3 linked regions of the Rattus norvegicus genome follow. The protein of the gene in region 3 interacts with the protein of the main gene of each other region in a pairwise test. Links are inferred from orthologs where the notes say so. Each region holds a gene or a part of one and is shown on either strand. Other genes may lie near its edges. The genes, in order: Sh3gl1, Tcea2 and Gpkow.

Region 1 (3,493 bases), on a different chromosome or scaffold from region 3:
GCCAGCCTCTATGTTCTGCCCTGTGTTCTCCAGGCTGACATGGGCTCTCTGTGGATAGTCCCAGAGTCCTGTGGATAGTAGGTCTGTCATGGTGCTGGCACTGGTAAATTGGAGCAGGTGAGCCTTTGACCCCCACCTGTGTCAACTTGCCCCCAAACTAGTCTGAGTCCCTGTTTTGAAGGCTGTGCTGAGGAGCAGCAACAGAAGGATCTGGAAGCTTCAGTGTATGAGGCATAGTTGCTGCGTCCACTGGACATCATGTCCATCCATAGACAGTTGTCATGTTCAGTTACACATAGTGGGGTCCCACTTTGACCCTCTGGATGACTGTAACTGAATGTAGCAGGGAGCCACTGGGCACTCTCCCTCCCCTTCTGTGATATGATCTTTGTTGCTCAGATTGAACCCTCCCACCCCCCATGGCTACCAAGTCACAATCATGGGATGTGATTGTTTAAGGGTGGCTGTCCATCAGCAGCCCCCATGGACCCGCCAAAAACCCCACTCTTCCTAACTTCTCTGTCACACATCCAGTTACCTGCCTCATGGCTCCTCTATCCTGTGCAGCCATGATGGTCTGTATCATGCTCTGAAAGACACTGTTTCTGCTTAGTTTGGCAACATGGGGCAAGGGCCCTACCCAGTAGCACCCTAGTCTCTATGATCCCGTTGGGTGGCTAGTCTCCCCATTGTGTCCTTTCTACTCCCATCCCAGGTACCTGGTTTACAGTAACATTGTTAACGGAGACCATATTAGGCAGACCCAATATGAGTAGCCAAGCTACTGGCTTCCTGTGCTCTAAGGGGTCAAATCTGTAGTAACAGGCTGGCCAGAGAAGTGGGAGCAATCTTGGTGCACATTGCTTTGGGCTTGTCCCCTAGAGTTCCCAGCACAATCCTGCTAGGGCAGTGATGCCCACATATCCACCAGCCCTGCCAGGTTAGCTGAGCACTACTCAGTTTGTACTCCAGAGTGACTGCAGCAAGGCAGCTCTTGGGAGGGATGGTGACCTCTGCAGGGCTGGCAGCTCTCTGCCAAGAACCTAGGTCTTTGCATGCCACCATGCAACCCTGTTGTGCTGTGGAGGCTGATGACTCCCCACAGACTTGTAAACAGGCTGTACCTTGCCTTCTGGCTCTGGAGTGAGGGTGTCTTGTCTCCTAGTTTTCTCCTGTGCCGATACCTGCCCCCGAGCTGTGGAGGGATGTGATTTTGCAAACGGCTCAGAGTACGAGGTTGCAGCTTGCTCATGGCATATTCAGTGATGTGTGGCCCCAGTGGAGCTCTTGGGCCTTGGGGAGGCTGGGTCTCCAGATCACAGGGCACAAGAGATAGGACCATTAAGAAAGCCGCTAGGTGTGCTCTGGGCTCCCCTCTTCCTGCCTTGCTGCCCTTCTTAAGATACCATGCCCCAGGCCCAGTTGCTGTCCCCGGAAGCTGTGGCCCTGCCTTACTTCTCTGCATTTACCATAAGAGCTAGGCCTTGTGGTGGGTGACATCCTGCCTCTGCTCAGCCTAGAGAAGCGAAACTGTTTGTGAAAGCTGGTGGGGTTCCCTGGGAATACCCATACACCTGGTGGGGCCTGTCCTGGGCCTCTCCATGAGTATGAAGATCTAAGACAGGCTCTGGGGACCCTCATGGGTAACCCTGTCTAGTGGACAGGGCAAGCCAGAGACTATGGCAGCCTTCAGATCACTGTGGGTAGCTACCCAAGCACAGGGTTGGGAGGTCACTCCCCTGCTTCTACAGCCACCCCACCCACTTCCTGATATCTTTGGTCATTTCCTCCCAGAGTACAAAGTCGTTACTGTTCCTGCCTGTGACATGGGTACCATACAGCCCTTGCAAAACCCTTGTAACAGCTCAGAGTCAGGAGCACCAAGGTCATGGCACCTGAAAATCCACACTGGTACCTTATCTCAGGAGTCCAGCCTGCTACTGTGCATGTGTGGCTTCCATGCCTTTAGCCTCTGAGCAAAGGCACCCTAGAAATACCCCCATACTGGGCCCCCTGTCTCTATAGCTAGTAGTAGACCTGTCATATCTCATGCGAGGGTGACCTGGGCAGTGGCTACCTTGCTTGTGTGTCCTAGGGGCTTGGGTATGATGAGTGAGGATGATTGTGGTGGGCAGATTGGGGTCTTGTGCCCCAGAGGGGTGACACATATTGTTTGGCATTCAGATAGTAACACAGCCACTCAGGACTCTCTGCCAGGTCCAGCAGGGTCAGGGCCCAGCTGTGTCTACTCTGCTCCAGGCTCTCAAGTCTAGGCTCCTGATTGCAAAGTGTGCTTTGTGAGGTCAAGTTCTGACTTCCTTGAGAGGGGGGGGAGGGTCCATCCTTATCAGCTGTCAATGTCAAAGTGGCAGGCACCAAGGACTCAGGTACACAAGAGCTTCCTGAAGCCTGCAGTATCCACAAGGCTTGAGCTGCCATGGGGTCTGTGCTCTGCCTTTGCCAAAGTAACAGGGTCAGCCAAGAACTGGGAAAGATGGAAGTCTCCATGGGGCATGGGCCTGGGACCTCAGAGGCAGTGCGCAATGCTAGCTGGGTCACAGCACACCCCAGCACTGTTGGCTTCTCTAGGGCTCACCCAGATACCCCATCTGCCCGCCTTTCCTGGAGTTCACATCCTTGACAGATACAGTTGCCCTCCACAAGCCAGCAGGAATTCCTCCTGTGCCCTCACATGCCTTCCTCCTTGTACCCAACAGCTGGTCAGCGAGAAAGTTGGTGGGGCCGAAGGGACCAAACTGGATGATGACTTCAGAGAGATGGAAAAGGTAGGATTCCACACTGGACTGTGGTGGGGGCTACTCCTGCTGGAGGACAGAAGAGCCTATATCCAGCTCCACCTCCACCTCTAATGGCTCCAACACTGTGGCTCTCTCCACAGAAAGTGGATATCACCAGTAAGGCCGTGGCAGAGGTGCTGGTCAGAACCATAGAATATCTGCAACCTAACCCAGGTAGGTAGGGCCTGGGCCTCTGGTTAGAGGGGTAGGAAGGGGAATACTGGGTCTGATTCCTCAGACTTCCCTTGGAACTGAAGTGATAATGACCTACTCTTGATGGCCTCTACACACACAAGGATTCCCTCTGCTGACTTGCAGAGCCAGTGTGCAGTGGAACCAGGTCTTCCCAGGCAAGGGTGACAGGGCACTCACTGAAGATTGAGAAAGTTAGACCACGTTCAAGAACCCAGACCACAGTGCTGTGATCATTTTGGCCTCTGCAGATGACAGATAGGCCTTCTTGCCAAGGCCTGGAGGAAGGGATGTATTGGAATTGTTCCCCTCCTCTGTGAACTGCCAAGTCCTTGGGAGTATACCCAGAGACAGCCTGGTGCCTGGCCCACTGGCCAGTTGGGGATATGAGGGCCCTGGTCTGGTGTACGCCTCAGTACAGTATAGTGTGGAGAGGAGCCTGTGAACCCACCTAGGCCATCTGTCCTCTTACAGCCTCGAGGGCCAAGCTGACTATGCTGAAT
Region 2 (2,804 bases), on a different chromosome or scaffold from region 3:
ACAGCTCTTCTCTTTAGCTCGCTGTGACCTAGCAGAGAGGCTAAGGTTTTTGAGGTCACCATAACATCTGTATGGTGGGAAATGTCTCCCTGGAATGCAAGTGTCCCGTTTAGCTTCTAGGGCTCTGTGCAAGCAGAGGGGTGGCAGTTGGAAAAAGATGGTGGGGGAAACAAGCGAGGCTCCCTCTTACAGACGACCACGTGGCTGTTGGTGTGAGCTGTGAGCATCTGTCATCTCAGATCGAGGAGTATATCCTTTGTGTAGGGTAAATGGTTAAGGGCTTCTGAGAGAGTCTATCGTCCACTGAGTTGTGCTTCTCTGGTAGCTATTGGACACAACTGGTAGGCTACCCAGTGCCCTTTCTGGGTGGTCCCTTGACCTTTTCTGGGCCATAAATGGGTAAGGGGCTATGACTACTTAGTAGATTTATCTGGGTCTCAAATAGGAGTGGGCCTAGAGAAGGCAGAACACTATAGACCCTTGGGTCCCCCACAGGTCTTGAGTGGGTAGACTCCTCTCCATGAGCCTGGGAAGAACATTTCCCATATGACTACCAGGAGGGGGAGGAGCTCAGAAACCTCAGATGGGTCCTTAAATACCTGCACGCATCTTCCTGGATGTGGGAAACACTGACATGAAGTACAAGAACCGTGTTCGGAGCCGAATCTCTAACCTGAAAGATGCCAAGAACCCTGGCCTACGCCGGAATGTGTTGTGTGGTGCCATTACACCCCAGCAGATAGCTGTGATGACATCAGAGGTAAGCTCTCCTGGAAGGGCTGGGGCCGGCTGTCTCTACAGAGCTGTGGGCTGCATACGTCACCTTTTTTATCAGGAGATGGCCAGTGACGAGCTGAAGGAGATCCGCAAGGCTATGACCAAGGAGGCCATCCGAGAGCACCAGATGGCCCGTACAGGTGGCACACAGACCGACCTGTTCACCTGCAACAAGTGCAGGAAGAAGAACTGCACCTACACGCAGGTCGGGGCCTACACCATCCTCCATCCTCCTGTCTAGGGGCCGCAGGGTGCACTCCTCCTCCTCTTGGGTATCACCTGTGTCCCTGCTTTTGGCCTGAGGCTCTATGCCAGGGCTCGGTGGCTTGCCCATGCCTATCACGGAGGGATGGGATAGGAGTAGAACATGCTGTTTGTCAGTAGCTGTGGGACCTTGAGGTCCTACTATGGAGGTGGAAGCTGAGGTACTCTAGGAAGGCTATGTGGTTTCCATGGGACATTGGGAGCTTGGGAAGAGGGGACTAAACTAAGATGGTCTCTCTGGTAGAAGCTCTAGGGCTTATGGGAACTTCCATCATCTGCAATAGGCTGCAGAGGGCTGGACCTGAGGGGCAGAGCAGCTCAGTCCCCACAGCTCAGGCCCTGTGGGATGTTTGCTGTTGAGTCCCCAAGGCATCTCTGATCCTTTTACTTTCTAGACCCTCCTGTTGGGAATCCTGCACTTAACCAATATTCTAGACTCAACTGAGCACAGTTGTTCAGGGCCACAAAGGCCTGTCATGACAACCTACCTCCTCCAGAGGTCTAGTTCTAGAAGGTTGGGGTAGTTCACTGGGAAGTTTCAAATCATCAATAGAGATCAGCGGGTATAAGACCAGTACTGCCCAGATCCGGGCAGCAAAACCAGGGATTCAGCCACCCACCCTACAGGTGCAGACCCGTAGCTCTGATGAGCCCATGACCACCTATGTTGTCTGCAATGAGTGTGGGAATCGATGGAAGGTAGGTGTTTGCCTCCAGTCCTGTCTCAATGCATATTGGGCCTGAAGTAGGAACTGCGGGGGTGGGGTGGGAGGTGAGATGGGGTGGGAGTGGGGGTGGGGAGGAGGCAGGCTGGGAGTCTCCTCCTGGCTAGGAGTCCTGGGGACTCCTAGCTGCCTGGGAGTCTGGGATGGAGCCTAACCCACTTCTACCCAGGGGGTCATGTGGGGCCTTGGCTAGACATTTTCCTGCCTTCCTGCAGTTCTGCTGAGTCCTTGTACTGATGTAGCCCTGGCCATGGCTAACCCTGAACCTCCTGCAACGCTCTTGGTGGACACAGCTTCTCTGGAGATACCCTGCAGGTGGCATGCCCCGTTCCAGCCTGCCTGGTGTGCACCTGCCTGCCCTTTGCCCCTCATCATTAAATGTTTCTTTTTTGCCTTCCTCTGGCCTTGCTCCTAATGGGCTAAACACAGGCTTCAGCTGGGTCCTATCCGTCCACCGCTGTAGATCTTTCCTCTCTGGGCTCCGACAACACTTGAGCTAAGCTGTGGTAGGGCAACACTATAGACAAGAGCTTGTCTAATGTTGGAGACATTCCTTGTTTGTATGATTCTAGGATATTGCTAATGCTTGTATGTGCACCACCATGCTGGCTGTGTGGGCTGGTGCAGGAACTTGCCCAGTGCTCACCCGTTCTCACTAGGTATGGCAGCCTGAGGACCTGGTATCCTTTCAGGATGTTTTACTTTGTCCTTCACTCCCCTTACCCATGGTGGAGGATGGTCTCTGAGCTGAAGTTAATTCTAGCTTCAAACTGCTGAAACTTCCAGCAACTTGGAAGAACAAAGTAGCGAGTGTGTTGCTTTATTGGACCGGTAAGATTAAGATGCTGTGCCTAGCTTCTTTGGAAAGACCATACCATCCGCTTTGTCCCCACCAGCCTCTGGAAAGGCATTTCATCAAGTACACAAGGGTTTTAGGTTTTACATCATCTCCAGTTGCATCTCAAGCCTTTGTTGGGTGCTGACCACTGTAGAGTTGAGGCCAGTTTCTAGAGCCAGACCCTGGACAGGGCCCACAAT
Region 3 (4,248 bases):
AAGTAACTGTGGGACAGAGTTTAGAGTAAATGCTAACAGCTGTTGTCCTCGTAAACAAAGCAACTCGTCAAACCATCACTGATGGGGAAAAAGTACAATAGGCCCCTTCCTCCCCTGCTGAGCCATCTCTCTAGCCCTGCCTCTGAAATTCTTGTCCCAAACTTATAACCTCAGACTAATAGCGAAAAGTTAACACAACAAGCTTTATTGGCGTTATGTTCTTCAAAATAACTGAGCTATATTTTTAAAAATCAGTAAAGACGGGGTTGGGGATTTAGCTCAGTGGTAGAGCGCTTGCCTAGCAAGCGCAAGGCCCTGGGTTCGGTCCCCAGCTCCGAAAAAAAAAAAAAAAGAAAAAAAAGAAAAATCAGTAAAGACAAAGACTAAAAAACTAGCACTAAAGACTACAGAAGACAAAGGAGGCATACAATTATATTGCAGTGTATGAGATATCAAAACTGGATCCTAGAAGGAAAAAATGCTTAATTAACAGAATCGCACCCAGGGATAGGGGTGTGGCTCAGTGATTAAAAAGAAGCAACATTATACAAATGTTCATCTCCTGTTTTGGATAATTTATAACACTGTTATGGAAAATCTGTAATGTTATCTTGGTCAAAAAATATGGGGGCTAAGTATGAACAGTTGTGCTGCTCTGGCTGGGGGAAAAAAGCAACTGAGTCAAGCAAAGAGGCTTCAACCCAGAAGGTCCTGGCTCTTCATGCCAAAAACCAGAAGACACTGCCTCATCCAAAAGCTCAAAAGGGTTAGAAAAGTGCAACATAGAGATTATGTGTAACAAAGGCACTTTACAAGAAAGCATAAGAAACTGGGGAATGGGAGAGAAAAAAAGAAATTAAAGGAATACAGATTAATGGTACAGTGCTTCCCTAGACGAGGCCCTAAGTTAAATTATTAGCACTGCAAACTGAACCACATCCCAGGTACAATCCTGGTTTTTCACCTTATTGACACTTTCTACATCAGTAAGATTCACATTGTGGAAAAGCACATTAAATTATGTGCTTGTCAAATACAAGATTTATTTATTTTGTTTTGTATATATAAATATTTTGCCTGTATGTACATCGTGTGCGTACATGTCGGAAGAGGGTAGAACTGAATTCCTAACGGTTTAATACCCAGGAATAACCTAATCAATCTTCCACCGCGACTACACCACTAAGAACTACATTTCCCGGAATGCTTAGTACGGCACCTTACTATGACGTTTAAAGAGTTCCCAAGCTCTAATTCCTGTTTCCCACGGCTTCAAGGCACCTGTTCTTGAGGCGTTGCATTCTGGGATAGATTCTGGCGTTCCTGGGCGGCCCTTAAGGTACTAGAGTTAAACTTCCCAGCAGGCAGAGCGCTCGCCTGGGACTCGAGCCAAGATGGCGGGCCGTGAGAGTCCGCCACCGGCTGCCGCGTCCACAGCTCCGATTTCTTTCGGTTTCACTCGCACATCTGTCCGGAGGCGACTGGCAGACCTCGGAGACAGCGAAGGACAGGCCCCAGAGAAGAAAGATTTCTTGGCGACTGTGGAAGGGAGGGAGCTGCAGAGGTGAAACGCCGGGTCTTTTCACGTCTTAGAAATCGGTGAAATGGGCTTAAGCGGGAGGGCAGAGTAAGGTGAAACGCCGGGTCTTTTCACGTTTTAGAAATCGGTGAAATGGGCTTAAGCGGGAGGGCAGAGTAAGAGAAATTTATGCTGGTGACAGTGGCCTGGAAAGCCTGAAACAGCTTCGGGAAATTTATGGAGGTAACCAGGAGTGGCGGCAAATGCCTGTAAGTCAAGACCTGGGAGGCTGGCGCAGGAGGATCAAGAATTGAACGCCAACCTGGGCAATTTGAGAGCCTATATTAAAAAAAAAAAAAAACAAAGAAATTACTAAAATAAGGGCAAGAAGAGGGAGGTTTGTTATGTGGATGAAATGGGGCTTGAGAATCAGAGATATAAATTCCTCAGAGAAAAAGTCGTGTGCCTTTTAAGAAAGGGAAAGGAGGGAGAATGACAGGATTCTTCCTGTCTCAACTGAAATGGTGGGTGCTTCTCCGATTTGAAGAATGAGGCAAAGTCAAGTTTTGGGAGGCCATCATCAGTATAATTAAGAAAGGAAGATCCTAGAGGCCTAAGTGGGGGACTTCTAAACGGCAGTTTATGGGCCTGGAACTAAGAAGCTAGACTAAAGGTGGTGAGTTGTAGGTCATTATGCTTTAAGGCCTAAGAATGATTTGCACAAGACACATTTAAAGCTGGGACCCCGGAGAGAAATGATACATTTGTATTGGTTGTATTTCCAGCACTAGGAAGTTGTACCAGGTTGACTGAGAGTTTATAAGACCAGCATGGGATGCATCGTGAGATGTCTCAAAAAAGATGAGTGGACCTTTAATAGTAACCTGTGGAACATGGTCCATAGGGCTAGGCATTGATATTTATTTTGTTTGTTTGTTTCTTTCTGGCCATTGTTTATTTTCTTTGTTTCTTGATATTTTTACTTTATTTAGAGGGGGTGTCAAGACAGGGTCTCTCCATGTAGACCAGGCTGGCCTTGAACTCAGGGATCCTCCTGCTTCTGCCTCCTGAGTGCTGCTGGGATTAAAGGCATGCATTACCACTACCCGGCTGATATTTCTACTTTCTAATATGTCTACAACCCTTTTTCTCTATCCACATCAGTGTGAACCCTCCAGAAGCTCCAAAGGAGCTGGTTATCCCATTGATCCAGAATGGCTCTCGCAGGCAACTGCTGTCCAAGAACCCTAAGCCCTCAGAAACAAGCACCGTGTTGACGTCAGATGGTGTGTTGTCCCAGGCTGTGAAGGAACTCATTGAGGGTGAGTGAAAACCTTCCTCTTTGCTCTGCCCTAGTGCAGATAGAAGGGGAAGAAGTTGGAAGGATAGGGTATGGCCTCATTGATCCCTCCCATTCTTCCTTAGAATCCAAGAAGTCTCTGGAGGAGAGGGAGAATGCAGGTGTTGACCCCACGCTCACTATCCCCATGATCCAGAAAGGATGTACTCCCATTGGGGAAGGAACATACAGCGAACCTCAGGCTGAGACAGTGAGCTGTCCCTTTGCCTCCCTCCTACACTATTCCTTCTACCCTGTCTGCCTAGTCTCCTTGCACATAGCAGGGAAAGTGTGTGTGCATGTCCCAAAGCCCTGCCAATTAGCCTTTCCTCCTTCCACCCTTATTAGAAGCATTAACAAAACAGAAAGCAGGGTGTTTAAAAATGTACGTGAATGCTGGGATTATCTGAATGAGGTAGACAACAAAGTGGACAGGAAATACAAATGCCATGAGGGTGTACACTGTTTGGAACCACATTTGTCTGTTTCCTCTTTCTTTTTTCTTTGTTCTGATTTTAGCCTGCAGTGTTTGAGGAGCACTAAGGAAACCTATTACTGGATTGGAATGAATGGGGAGGGAGTGGGCAGTAGATGAAGGCAGAGGGGGCCAGATTAGAAAGGGCATTCTGACCCACAGAGCAGACTTTTGTCTTTTACTATGAGTGGAGTGAGAGCTAAGGGGAAGTCTTGAGCAGACAGGGTTAGAACAGGGTCCCCTTTGTCTGCCCTGACCAAAAATGACTAGGAAGTGAAGGTAGGGCAGGAAGGGAGTAGACTAATCCAGAATAGAGGTCGTAAGGATACACACACATAGAAGTGACTGGAGTGAGAACTGGAAGGGTAGTTAACATTTAGTGAGAGAAGAATGATCAGACTGGGGACTCCGAATGGCAGCAACAACCCAAGAAACCCACCCTTGTGGGAAATCAGTTCTGAGGCATCTTGCAGTGTGCCGAGTAATGATAAAGGAATGAAGAAATGACAACAGATGAGATGGAAAATGTGTTTGTAGAAATAAAGTTTGAGCTCAGCTTCTTAATGTTTTAGCTTTTTTTTTTTTTTCTTTTTTCTTTTCGACATAGGGTTTCTTTGTGTAACAGAGCTCCTCTGGCTGTCCTGAACTCACTTATGTAGACCAGGCTGGCCTCGAAGTCACAGAGATCCACCTCACTCTGCCTTCTGAATGCTGTAATTAAATGGGCCTGGCTAGTGTTTTAGCTTTTATTCATAAAATGTTTGTGATACACCCTCTCTTTCAGCTAGTCTCAGTCTTCTGATGTGCTTGGCTTTCTTCTTTTTGAGACAGTTCTATGTAGTCTAAACTGGCCTTGAATTCACTCTGTTGCCAAAAATGACCTTAAACTTCTGGTCTTCATGCCTACAACCCTGT

The links.
Region 1: the proteins of Gpkow (region 3) and Sh3gl1 interact in binary tests that used the Homo sapiens proteins (3 or more experiments, as listed by UniProt). The two-hybrid records come from large-scale screens. The link is inferred for Rattus norvegicus from reciprocal best matches to the Homo sapiens genes GPKOW and SH3GL1.
Region 2: the proteins of Gpkow (region 3) and Tcea2 interact in binary tests that used the Homo sapiens proteins (3 or more experiments, as listed by UniProt). The two-hybrid records come from large-scale screens. The link is inferred for Rattus norvegicus from reciprocal best matches to the Homo sapiens genes GPKOW and TCEA2.

What each region holds. Positions count from the first base shown.
Region 1 is NC_086027.1:936,479-939,971, reverse strand, and holds part of Sh3gl1 (endophilin-A2), read left to right. Parts: intron 1-2,717; coding exon 2,718-2,786; intron 2,787-2,899; coding exon 2,900-2,972; intron 2,973-3,464; coding exon 3,465-3,493. UniProt on the Homo sapiens protein: Implicated in endocytosis. May recruit other proteins to membranes with high curvature.
Region 2 is NC_086021.1:189,179,471-189,182,274, forward strand, and holds the end of Tcea2 (transcription elongation factor A protein 2), read left to right. Parts: intron 1-192; coding exon 193-249; intron 250-605; coding exon 606-760; intron 761-835; coding exon 836-982; intron 983-1,668; coding exon 1,669-1,740; intron 1,741-1,981; coding exon 1,982-1,990; 3' UTR 1,991-2,162; downstream 2,163-2,804. UniProt on the Homo sapiens protein: Necessary for efficient RNA polymerase II transcription elongation past template-encoded arresting sites.
Region 3 is NC_086039.1:17,475,350-17,479,597, reverse strand, and holds the start of Gpkow (G-patch domain and KOW motifs-containing protein), read left to right. Parts: upstream 1-1,299; 5' UTR 1,300-1,394; coding exon 1,395-1,564; intron 1,565-2,683; coding exon 2,684-2,841; intron 2,842-2,944; coding exon 2,945-3,069; intron 3,070-4,248. UniProt on the Homo sapiens protein: RNA-binding protein involved in pre-mRNA splicing. As a component of the minor spliceosome, involved in the splicing of U12-type introns in pre-mRNAs.